Stegostoma tigrinum: one gene and its partners. The protein of the gene in region 2 purifies or fractionates together with the protein of the main gene of each other region. This does not show direct contact. Links are inferred from orthologs where the notes say so. Each region holds a gene or a part of one and is shown on either strand. Other genes may lie near its edges. The genes, in order: tsc22d2, nuclear receptor-binding protein and TSC22 domain family protein 1-like.

Region 1 (4,022 bases), on a different chromosome or scaffold from region 2:
GAGGGCCTGCTTTCACTGGACTGTGATGTCTGAGGTATAAGCTGCTCCGAATTTCGCCTCTCCTCCAGCTGGCCTGTACCTTGCTGTGGCTGGAAGAGGTTGGTCTGCGACACGTTTGAAGATACATTGAGGGAACTTTGCATTAGGCCGCTACTCCCGGCCATTGGTGCCTGGCCACTTAGCTGTGATTGACCCATGGTCACTGGAACACTTGGCATAGTAACTGAAGTGGCTGGCACACTGGGCACACCAGCAGACACACTTGAAACACCAGTACTAGGCACATTTTGGATGCCAGCTGCCACACTGGTCAATCCAGACACCTGACTAACCATCCCAGACTGGAGACCAGAAGCTTGGTGCTGTTGGGTTAAAAGTTGTTGCTGAACACCAGATGACCCCAAGCCTTGCTGCTGCAACATCAGCCCCTGCGTAGGACCCGTCTGGATATTCTGTATCCCTTGACTGACCAAATCACAGCTCTGAGCCGACACTTGGACTCCACTGACAGAAGACTGCAACACTGGCGAAGGACCATGACTCGTCGCTTGCCCGGCAGGTAGGATTGTCGTTGCAGCGCTGTGAGCTACTGCTCCCGGTGAAGCTCCTGGACCCTGCATGACAGGCAGATGTTGCATGTACTCTGTGTGGCTATTCGCCACGGTGGATTGAGACGGCAGCAAGTGTGGAGCCTGGCTCGGAGAAAACTGGAATTGCTGAGACTGGGAAGCGGGGATGTGAGCAGTCTGCTGAGGAAGTGGGCCGCCAGGGGCAAGCAGGGCCTTGCCATTGAGGCCGGCGTGCAGGTTCACCTGTGACTGATGGTGCTGGCCAGCCACAGCGGGGGTGCTGTAAATTTGAGTGGAGGAGGCAGCCTGTGAGACCGGCAGGCCGCCTGCTGGTTGCAGTCCTTTGGAGAAACTTTGGTGCTGGGCGATCAGCTCGGCTTGGGCCAACTGCGTGACAGTGGAGCCGAGGGAAGCGTCTGCCAGGGACTCTGTGGCGTGCAGGGTGGGGAGGATGAGCGAGCTGTTGGTGGCTCCGAGGCCGCTGTCCCTATCTCCGGCCTGTTGTTGCTGCTGCTGCTCCAAGGCGGTGGTGCTGTTGTGTCGGATGGTGTCGGCCGACCGGGCCAGGACGGTACCGTCAGAGTCTCGGTCGTAAAACTCGGTACAGGTCCAGCGGCCTCTGCGGAAGGGCTCGCCCGAGCCGTGGTCCAGTTTGATGACCCTGAAGCGGGAGGTGCAAGCCACCGCCGGCTGCATGGTGAGCGGGCCGCCGCTGGAAGTGCCGCTGCCGGAGCTGGACGGAGGAGGGGTGGCTCCCGGAGGCTGTCCGGGGCTCGCCACCGTCCCCCCGGCCGCCGGCAGCCGCCCTCCGAAAGCCTGAGCCACCACGTCCCGATCGTGAGGGATATTGGGCGAGGTGGCGCCGGGGGTGTCGGCATCGCCCACGTTGTTGAGGGTCTCGTCCGAAGAGCTACGGTCACAGACCTCGGCGCCGTGCTCGTAGTCGGTGGCCCGGGAGGACACGTCGAATATCTCCGAGGAGATGTCCTCGGTGCGGGACTCGTCCGGGTCGTCCAGGCTCTCTGTGTCCTCAGTGATGCTGCTAGCCGCTACCTGAGCCGTGGTCACGCTGGTGATCTGGAAACCGCTCTTCTTTTTAACCGGCATTTTGAACAATTCACAAAAATATAGATATATGTATATACATAGAGAGAGAGGGGGGGAGGGAGGGAGGAAAGAGCGTCGAACCTTTTTTTACCTTCACGCCTCTCTCCTTCCCTTCGCCGCCGCAGCAAGTCTGTAGTTTGTAATTCAGTTCACAAGTTCTTTTTAAAAAAAAGCTAACCTTTTTTCTGACAATTCACAGTTCGAATAGATCATTTTCTCGTTGCGTTGGTAATATCCGTGCAATGAGAGAAAAAATTAAGTTCTCTTTTTCTTTTGAATTAAGGAAATAAAAGTAAATCTTCAGAGTTCGTAGATTGTTCTGTAAAGAGGTTCTTTCTTTCTTTCCTTCCTTCCTTTTCAACACCTCACACCCAGGAAAAACGATGAATTAACACCGTTGGGAACAACGTTTGAAGCAAGCCATGTCTGCTTCGATTACAACCTAAACATCCTTTCGAAGAGAAGATATGAAGAATTCTACTTCTTTCCTCCCACTCTGGCACTTCAGTCGTTATCCTCGCTTTACTTTTCCTCCTTCTGCAGGGAACGGTCGCACTTTTAGCAACGTGTGGATGACTCCGAGCTCCTTCTCATTAGTCACCACGACACACCATCTTCCTTCTAGTTATAAGCACTGCGGGCTGCTCACCCAGGTCCTCTTGTTCATAGAAGGGAAGAGAGAAAAAAACCCTCCCTCCCCTCAAAAACTCAACTCCCAATTATATCCTTCAGATTCTTTTCTTCTGACTCTTTGCACACAGGTCGATGAAATGCAGAGAGTGAGTGAGAAGAGGGGGAGGAGAGAGGAGCTGCTTCTGGTCGAATGGAGAAAGCAAAAGCCCCGGGGTTTTGAGAGCCCAGTCAGGTCCTGTCCAGAACAAGCAGCAGTGACACTCTCGCCCTTTCTTTCTCTTCCTTCCTCCTCTCGTTCGTCTTGCCCTCCCTCCCCTACAAGAAGGGAGGGGGGGGGGGGAGTGGGGGTGACCGGCCCAAGGCCCGTGTCGCAGATCCAGCGGCGAATTTGTCTGGTCCCTGAGCAAACCCCGCACCCCCTTCCCCAGACACCCCCCCCCCGCCTACTCTTCGCCGCACCTCCTCAGGCTGGGGTGGGGGGGGGGGTAGGAGAGGGAAAGGGGAGGAGGCGGAGGATGGGGGTGCCTACCCCTCCTCGGGATGAAAAGACGGGTGGAAAAGAGGGCGGGATGTGTTCACAAGCCGGAGCTGCCGAGCGCTGCCATTCGCCTTCTTCCCTTCGCAGGAGGTTAGGGAGGGAGGGAGCTGCCTTTGGACCCGGGGCCTTCAGCACAGCAGCAAGTGGGCCCCTTTCCCTTCACCACCACAAGATGGGGGAGAGTTGGGGAGGGGGTAGCGGGATGGAGGAGGATTACAGGCTCGGTTATTTTCTCCTTTATTTATGATGGGGGGTCGGGTCACGGTTGCCTGCGTGTCTCAGACACACGCAGCCCCAGCAGCTTCTCTCTCTCTCTCTCTCTCTGTGACTGCACTCAAACCAAGATGGCAGCCGCGCCACCGCACGGCATCCTGGGAACGTGCTCACGCATCACACAGCGCGCTGACGTCGACTTCCCTCGCCCCACTGTATCAACTTTGTGTATCAGGCATTAGGGTTGTCTGTCGGGGTAGTGCATTCCCTGCACCGAGGAACTAATTGCTTCAGCCCAGTCCCAGTGGGAGGTTTAATGAACTGGACTATGGGTTACAGTTTGCAGATGGCAATAAACTTGGGGTAGTTGTGGACTGTGAGGAGAGCATTAAGAGTGAGGTTAAAATTGTATCAGTGATAATGGGAACTGCAGATGTTGGAGAATCCCAGATAATAAAATATGAGGCTGGATGAACACAGCAGGCCCAGCAGCTCCTGAGATGCTGCTTGGCCTGCTGTGTTCATCCAGCTTCACACTTTGTTATTAAGAGTGAGGAGCAGGAGGAGGCAATTCAGCTCGCACCACCATACCATAAGAATCATGGCAGATCTCCTTACTTGGCTTTAACTTCATTTTCCTGCGTGCTCCCCACAACCCTTCAACTTGCTGCCAATTAAAAATCATAGTGCAGGAAGAGGCCATTCAATCCATGAAGTCTGAACCAACCCTGCAAAGAGCATCCCACTCAGGCCCACCCCCATCCCAGTACCCCTGCATTTTCTATAGCTAATACAGATAAGCTGTTGTTTCTGTGCATATCCCCGGACTCTATAAGGCCATTTCGCATAGCCAATCTACTTAACCTGCACATCTTTGGACAGTGGGAGAGAAACCGAGGCACCTGGCAAAAACCCATACAGACACGGAGAATGCGCAAACTACACACAGAAAATCATCCAAG
Region 2 (4,022 bases):
AGGGAGGCAGAGACAGGTTGGACTGGTTTTGGGATGCAGTGGGTGGAGGGGAAGAGCTGGGCTGGTTGTGTGGTGCAGTGGGGGGAGGGGACGAACTGGGCTGGTTTAGGGATGCAGTAGGGGAAGGGGAGATTTTGAAGCTGGTGAAGTCCACATTGATACCATTGGGCTGCAGGATTCCCAAGCGGAATATGAGTTGCTGTTCCTGCAACCTTCGGGTGGCATCATTGTGGCACTGCAGGAGGCCCATGATGGACATGGGCTGATGAAGGGTCTAGGCCCGAAACGTCAGCTTTTGTGCTCCTGAGATGCTGCTGGGCCTGCTGTGTTCATCCAGCCTCACATTTCGTTATCTTGGATTCTCCAGCATCTGCAGTTCCCATTATCACGGTGTATAACCTGGTGTCGTGTAGATTTTGACCTTACCCAGACATACGAAACTTTCCTTCCACTCGTCTCCGCCCTCCCGGATTCCATTGGCTGTTGGGCCGTCACTAATATCAATCGACGGGTATCTATTGGTCAAAGACGTTACCAGGAGGCTGTTGAATCCCTCCAATCGGGTCGGGTCCTAGCGCGCGTTAGGCTGTGCCCAAACGTCATTAGTAACGCGCGTGACGTGACCGTTACTACGCCGCCACGCGCACCTGGCTCTGATTGGTCAATATCACCATGTCAAACCGTCCGCTGAGGGGAACGTGGGCAGCTGTGGCTCCGCATACCACACGCCAGGCATTGATTGGCCCGTTCCGACGTCGTTGGACCGTCACCGGCGCGAACTGCGTCGTTGTGGCACCGTTCTCCATCACTTCGTGCGATTATTGGTAAGATCCGCTGTCCATCAAAGCGTTGCCTGGGAATGTGGGCAGGGTGGCGAGCCCTGTACCCGCCCCGGGTTTCTATTGGTCTGGCCCGCTATCTGTCAAACTGTCGCCTAGGGGGAAGTGGGCGGGGTGGCTTGAGAGCTCGAGCGAATGGAGTCGCTGGTCAATGGTCGCCATTAAACGTGGGGCTGAGGAGAATTTAACTTCCAAGTGGGATCAAAGGGAAGAAATCGGACGATCTTGTAGAAAGCTTCCTGTATCTTCAATGGTACCCGTCCCCAGAAAGTGGAATTGATTTTCAATCATTCGACAAGGAGTTGTCGGTGTCTCACCTATCCCCGCCCCCTCTCCGCTCTCTCCATCCGGTCTCCGGCCCCTGAGTGTCTCTCCAGGTTTTGTGGGGAGAGGGGGGAGATGTCGGAAGGCGAGAAGGCGGCCGCTGTAGCCGCAGTGGTGGACAAGGCGGCTGAGGCCATGAATGCGGCCGCCGAGGTGGACGACGAAGAGGAGGACGAGAGCGAGGACGAGAGCGAGATCCTGGAGGAGAGTCCGTGTGGCCGCTGGCAGAAGCGACGGGAGGAGGTGAGCTCCTTTTGAAGAGGGAGATTTGCGGGGCGGGGGATAAGAGGGCAGAGACCCCTTCTGACAGGGTGATTCGTCCTTTCCCCAGTGCTAACTCGCCTTTAACAGGCGTTTCAAACCCATGTTTCCTCTTTTCTTAAGAAAAAAGAAATGCAATAAAGCTTGCCAGTAGCTTGTGCTTTTTGCATCGCACTTTTTTAGTTTACAAGTTGAAGACAGGAACGATGTGATTGCAGTAGTGGGTTTGCAGAGTAGATTCACTAGCATGATGTCCGGGCTGAGATGGAACGGTTCATAGGAGTAGGCCATTCAGCCCCTTGAACCTGTTCCGCCATTCGAAGCTGACCTCTGCCCTAACTCCATACACCTGCTTTTGGCCTTCATACTTTTGCCTAATGAAAATAAACTATCTCAGATTTCAAACAAACAACTGATCCAGCATCGGCTGTTATTTGTGGAGTGTACCGAACCCCTCTAGTCCTTTCTGGGTAGAAGTGCTTCCTAACATTACTCCTGAATGGTCTGACTGTAATTTTTAGAGCATGCTCCTAAAGTCCTATAATCCCCAACCAGTAAAAGTATTTGTTTGTCTGTTACTGTTATTATCTTTGAGTTCACCCTTAACCTTCTAAATTCTAGAAAAATAGGCCTAATTTTTCTAACTGTCCTCATATCTTAAACCCTGAATCCAGGTATCATTCTTGTAAACCCACAATGTACTCCTCCCAAGACCAATTTCCTTTTCTTAAGGCATGGTGCCCAGATCTGCTGAGAATCATTAAAGTGGAGTCTAACCAGGGGTTTGTATGGCTGCAACATTCCTTTTGCACCCCTATACTCCAGCTTTCTAGATATAAAGGTCAACTTGTCATTAGTTGCCTTGATAACTTTCTGCACCTGTTCACGGCGCTTTAAAAACACCTGAACTGCAATTTTCTGGATATCTACTGTATTTAACTTCATACTATGTAGTTAGTGCCCTCATTTTGTTTTGGTCCACGATGGATAAGCTCACACATGTTTACATTGAAATCTACCTGCCACAGTTCACCTTGTCTGTCAGTATTTAGCTGTGGCGATAGACTAGATAGGTTGAGTTGTTTTCCTTAGAGTATAGGTTCCTTTTTATTCACTTACAGAATGAGGGTGTCACTGGCTAGGCCAGTGCTTATTGCTCAGAGGCCTGTTAAGGATCTACCATTTTGCTGTGAGTCTGAAGTCTCATGTAGCCCAGGGCAGGTAAGGATGACAGATTTCCATCCCGAAAGGACATTAGTGAACCATATGGGCTTTTCTGATGATTGATAATGGATTCGTAGGTTAACAGTCCAGCAATAACACCACTAGGCCATTGCCTCCCCCTTCTGAGTAAATGTTGAGGGGAAATCTGATTAATGTGTATGAGGTTCTCAGGGTTCTGGATAGGATATAGATGAAGAATCTTGTTTTCCTTAGGGGGCTCAGTAGCCACAGGCCAAATAAATCCAAGGTCTTGGAGAGAACATGGAAACAGTGTACTGAGTGCAATGATCAACTACAACTGTACTGAATGGCAGACTAGGCTCAAAGAACTAAATGGCCTACTCTGGCTCTTATTCTCTGTTTTGGGGGATTTGAAGAATTTCTTTTCATTCAGTTGGTGGTAGGTGTCTGGAATTCACTGCTTAAAAGGGTGGTAGAAACAGGAAACAACCAGTAATTGAGTATTAAGCTGGATGACTGTCTGATACAGAATGATGCCAGCAGTGTGGGTTCCATTCTGACACCAGCTGAGGTTGCCATGAAGGTGCCAGCTTTGCAATCTTGCCCCTCACCTGAGGCTTGGTGACCCTCATTAAACTGAAAAAGCAACCCTATGGTCCTCAGGAAGTGTGACAACTTCACCTATTTAGATGAGTGCGTGAAATGCCAGAACATACAAGGTTATGGGTTAAGTGTTGGAAAATTGGATTAAAATAGATAAGTACTTGAATGCCATCATGGACATAATGGACTGGAGGATCTTTTTCCACACTCTCAAACTCTGATTCTATAACTTGAAGTAATATAAGCTGGTGATATATATCAGACGACTTGGTATCTGTGACTGGTTTATATCTGAACTGTGAAAGCTGTTAATCTGATAAGTAATGCAACTTGCAAAAAAGCAAAAATTAAATGTTTTTCTTGTCCATTTTTAGTTCCTTTATTAGAAGAATGCTGGCTTGCCAGTATAATATCTTTTACACGGCTAGAAATTGGATTCTGGTGTCATGCTTCTTTTTTCATAGAAGGTGCAGCTGTTTCTCAAGACATGTTTTCTCAACATCTGCCATTTCCATATATAGTCCTCAAAAGCCTGGTATACATGAGAGAGGGAGATTCTATTTATTCCATCAAATATGTAATGTCGGTTTGGAATGGTGAGGAGTTTATTGGGCTTGAAATTTGTTGATGGCAGATACCCTAGATAGGCATGAGCACTGTATTAGGTGATTAAAACTCATGTGTTGAAGTGCTGTAATGGAAAATTTAATTTACTTTATGCTAATGGAACTTGGTTGATTGTTTTAAAAGGTGATTTATCATTCCATTTCAGAGACTGTGATGTTTTACAGAAGTGATCTTGTGTGTAGT
Region 3 (4,022 bases), on a different chromosome or scaffold from region 2:
TATCCTGTACACCTTCTCTCTATTCCTATCCCCCCCTTATCCTGTACACTTTCTCTCTATTCCTATCCCCCCTTATCCTGTATACTTTCTCTCTATCTCCCCCCCCTTATCCTGTACACTTTCTCTCTATTCCTATCCCCCCCCCTTATCCTGTACACTTTCTCTCTATTCCTATCCCCCCCCCTTATCCTGTACACTTTCTCTCTATCTCCCCCCCCTTATCCTGTACACTTTCTCTCTATTCCTATCCCCCCCCCTTATCCTGTACACTTTCTCTCTATTCCTATCCCCCCCCCTTATCCTGTACACTTTCTCTCTATTCCTATCCCCCCCCCCTTATCCTGTACACTTTCTCTCTATTCCTATCCCCCCCCTTATCCTGTACACTTTCTCTCTATTCCTATCCCCCCTTATCCTGTACACTTTCTCTCTATTCCTATCCCCCCCCCTTATCCTGTACACTTTCTCTCTATTCCTATCCCCCCCCTTATCCTGTACACTTTCTCTCTATTCCTATCCCCCCCCTTATCCTGTACACTTTCTCTCTATTCCTATCCCCCCCCTTATCCTGTACACTTTCTCTCTACTCCTATCCCCCCCCCTTATCCTGTACACTTTCTCTCTATTCCTATCCCCCCCCCCTTATCCTGTACACTTTCTCTCTATTCCTATCCCCCCCCCCTTATCCTGTACACTTTCTCTCTACTCCTATCCCCCCCCCTTATCCTGTACACTTTCTCTCTATTCCTATCCCCCCCCCTTATCCTGTACACTTTCTCTCTATTCCTATCCCCCCCCTTATCCTGTACACTTTCTCTCTACTCCTATCCCCCCCCCTTATCCTGTACACTTTCTCTCTATTCCTATCCCCCCCCCCCTTATCCTGTACACTGCTTTTCTCCCTCTCTACTCCTGTCCCCCTTCTGCCTCGCTGCTCCTTCCGCTCCTGACAACTGCTGACGTCAGCGGGCCCCGCAGGCCGCGCCACGTCACGGGCAGGCAGCCAATGGGAGGCCGAGTTATTTTTAGCCCAGGGTTTAAGGTTCTGCGATCGCCTGGCAACAGGCGGAAGAGCAGCGGGGAGCAGCGTGCGCTCACTCACTCGCTCGCTCTCACCCAGGCTCGGGGCTCTCCACACACACACACACACACCACCGCTTAGAAATAAAAACCTTCAGACGCAACCCCTCATCGTTCAGAAAGTTTACAAACAAATGCGCCCAAACTACTCCGTACACCCGCCCCCATTAGGAACAAAAACCCCGGCTACCATAAACATTCCTGTGGGATGGTCCCGAGTGTGTTTATTACCAGCACAAACTGATCATGAAACATTCAGATCGAGCTAGGACATAATCCTCATCCCGCACGACTGCAAACTCGATAATACAGATGGATTGTTTACTTGCAACCCTGGCACTGAGAGGTGACTGAGAGATCGATGCACGGCACTGCGCAAGCAAGAAATACAACATTGCATCTGTTAGTGCCCCGGCTGCATGACCGCGGCATCAAATTAGTTCTTCGAGAAAATCATTTCGATTTTCTTTAAAGAGTGAACGAGGGCTCACATCTATGGATCAGCGAAGGCTGCTGCACACAGAACAAGTGTCTCACATTTACCTTGAACATCCATGCCATGAACAATGGGCAAAATACCCCTCTCCACAGAGGGCGAGCAGCCGAGTTCCTGACACTCTGGAGGATGTCCAATCTGCATTGTTACACCGGAGATTTCTGAATTCTTTCTGCCCCATTGCACGGTTGCACTGACGAATGCCTGGCCGATCCCCCACCACCCACATCCCCTCCCCTCCGTCCCTAAAAGGGTTTTGAGGTCTCTGAACTGATTTTAATACCTCTTTACTGTCGTTCGCTGCACAAACACTTACCATGGCTTGCTCGATTTTGTTGTCTATGGCTACCACACTGGCACCAGAAGAGCTGTAAAGAAACAAAAAAAAAGATTAAAGCAACAATCCCAGCTGGAAAAGAAAGCGAATGGAAGGCAAATACAGCAATCACGCCTACCAAGATCTAATGTACAGCCGTAACCCGATAATAGCTTTGTTTTTGTGTTGATTGATGCATTTTATTTACCCCCAGGCGCAGCAAACAGCGACCACTTGCAGGCGATGCAACACTTTGATTAATAATAATGCTTCAGCAAATAAGCTAAATCGGGATCTGGGTCAATCTGCAGGATTAAGCCTCAAAACAAAAAAAAGCCGAGACCTTCATTTTCTGCTGACTCTGGGGGTAGATGCCCCCACTGTAATGCGGCAAAATAACAAGCCTGGGAGACGACGCCAGCCATTTTTCCCTGCATTGATCTCCGCCAATATTTCCATAGGCACATACTGAGCAGCAAACCCAAGCTCCAGAGACATAGACAAGTTAAAATCATTTTCAAATGTCTCTGATTCCCCCAGAAAGAGCCAGAGATTTCACATCAGCTGTCAGCGCCTTCAGCACCGTTGACTGTTGCAATGCAAATGATATTTCGGTATACCATATCTGCCTAGCTTCAAATGAAACCCAACCAACCTCTAGCCGTTGCAAAAACAAAAAAAAAATCCAACAACCGACATTTACCTACTGTCTAATTTTACGGAGGCGTTTTCTGTTCCGAGCAAAGAGGAGAGAAATGAAATCGAGAAATTTCTCAGCTGGTAAACCCCAAGCTCCATCGCCAGTGACTTATAATATTCAGCATTCATGCTATTCCAGAGCAAAAATGAGTGAAGAAACGGGAGCTTTTCGTTTGCAGCCTTGGTGAGCCGGCGTGGTAAAGAGAAACGCTATTGCTGAAGGCTAGATTTTGTGAATTTTGCAGTGAAACGGCAATGTACTGTAGAAACCTTGGAGAGCCACCTCGACAGCGCTCCACAAAGAAAGCTTGTGATGCTCACAAACAGATCTTCGCTGCTGCTTCTCACCACAAAACCCTCAGCACTCTCATCAGCATAATGTATGTACAGGAACGCCCAGCAGCCCCGCCGCTATAGGCTCACCTGATCAGATTAACATCATATCTACGAATATATTAACACTGAGGAACACCCAGCAGCAGGCACGAGGTCCAGGGAGGAGAGGGAGGAGATGGTTTGCGGGGGGGAGCGGGGGGAGGGGATGTGAGTTGGTGGGGGGAGTAGGAGAGAATCAGATAATGGTTGGGAATCAGATAGGGAGGAGGATCAGGTTGGAGAGGTGGAAGGGGGGGGAATAATATTCAATATTTTTCAGACTGGAGGCCTGTGACCAGCGGTGTGCCACAAGGATTGGGGCTACATCCACTGCTTTTCGTCATTTATATAAATGATTAGAATGTGAACATAAGAGGTATGGTTAGTAAGTTTGCAGAATTGGATGTGTAGTGGACAGCAAAAGTGACCTCAGGAGTACAACAGGCTCTTGAACAGATGAGCCAGTGGGTAGCAGATGGAGTTTAATTCAGATAAATGCCAAGTGCTACATTTTGAAAAGGCAAGTCAGGGCTGGACTTATACGCTTAATGTAAGGTCCTGGGGGGTGTTGATGAACAAAGAAACCTTGGGGTACAGGTCCATATTTCCTTGAAAGTGGGGTCACAGGTAGACAGGGTGATGAAGGCAGTGTTCGGTATGCTTACCTAGAGTGGTCAATGCATTAAGTTCTGATGGTCATTGGACCTGAAACGTTAACTCTTGATCTTTTCTTCACAGATGTTGCTAGACCTGCTGAACTTTACCAGCAAGTTTGTTTTGTTCATTGAGTTTAGGAGTTGGGAGATCATGTTGTGGCTGTGCAGGACAATGGTCGGGCCACTTTTGGAATACTGCATGCAATTCTGCTCTCCCTGCTATAGGAAGGATGTTGTGTAGCTAGAAAGGATTCAGAAAAGATTTATAAGAATGTTGGCAGGATTGGACAGTTTGAGCGAAAGAGAGAGGCTGGATAGGACAGAGCTATTTTCCTTGGAGCAATGGAGGCTGAGGGGCGACCTTATAGTGGTTTATAAAATCATGAGGGGCATGGATAGG

The links.
Region 1: the proteins of nuclear receptor-binding protein (region 2) and tsc22d2 purify together in Homo sapiens (affinity purification with mass spectrometry; 5 studies listed by BioGRID and IntAct, with this or other methods). This does not show direct contact. The link is inferred for Stegostoma tigrinum from reciprocal best matches to the Homo sapiens genes NRBP1 and TSC22D2.
Region 3: the proteins of nuclear receptor-binding protein (region 2) and TSC22 domain family protein 1-like purify together in Homo sapiens (affinity purification with mass spectrometry; 4 studies listed by BioGRID and IntAct, counting the BioPlex papers as one, with this or other methods). This does not show direct contact. The link is inferred for Stegostoma tigrinum from reciprocal best matches to the Homo sapiens genes NRBP1 and TSC22D3.

What each region holds. Positions count from the first base shown.
Region 1 is NC_081367.1:66,950,452-66,954,473, forward strand, and holds the start of tsc22d2 (TSC22 domain family protein 2), read right to left. Parts: upstream 2,766-4,022; 5' UTR 1,677-2,765; coding exon 1-1,676. UniProt on the Homo sapiens protein: Reduces the level of nuclear PKM isoform M2 which results in repression of cyclin CCND1 transcription and reduced cell growth.
Region 2 is NC_081362.1:89,502,703-89,506,724, reverse strand, and holds the start of nuclear receptor-binding protein, read left to right. Parts: upstream 1-939; 5' UTR 940-1,238; coding exon 1,239-1,406; intron 1,407-4,022. UniProt on the Homo sapiens protein: Required for embryonic development. Plays a role in intestinal epithelial cell fate and proliferation, thereby involved in the architectural development of the intestine potentially via the regulation of Wnt-responsive genes.
Region 3 is NC_081365.1:74,892,744-74,896,765, reverse strand, and holds the start of TSC22 domain family protein 1-like, read right to left. Parts: upstream 2,961-4,022; 5' UTR 2,721-2,960; coding exon 2,596-2,720; intron 1,945-2,595; coding exon 1,893-1,944; intron 1-1,892. UniProt on the Homo sapiens protein: Protects T-cells from IL2 deprivation-induced apoptosis through the inhibition of FOXO3A transcriptional activity that leads to the down-regulation of the pro-apoptotic factor BCL2L11.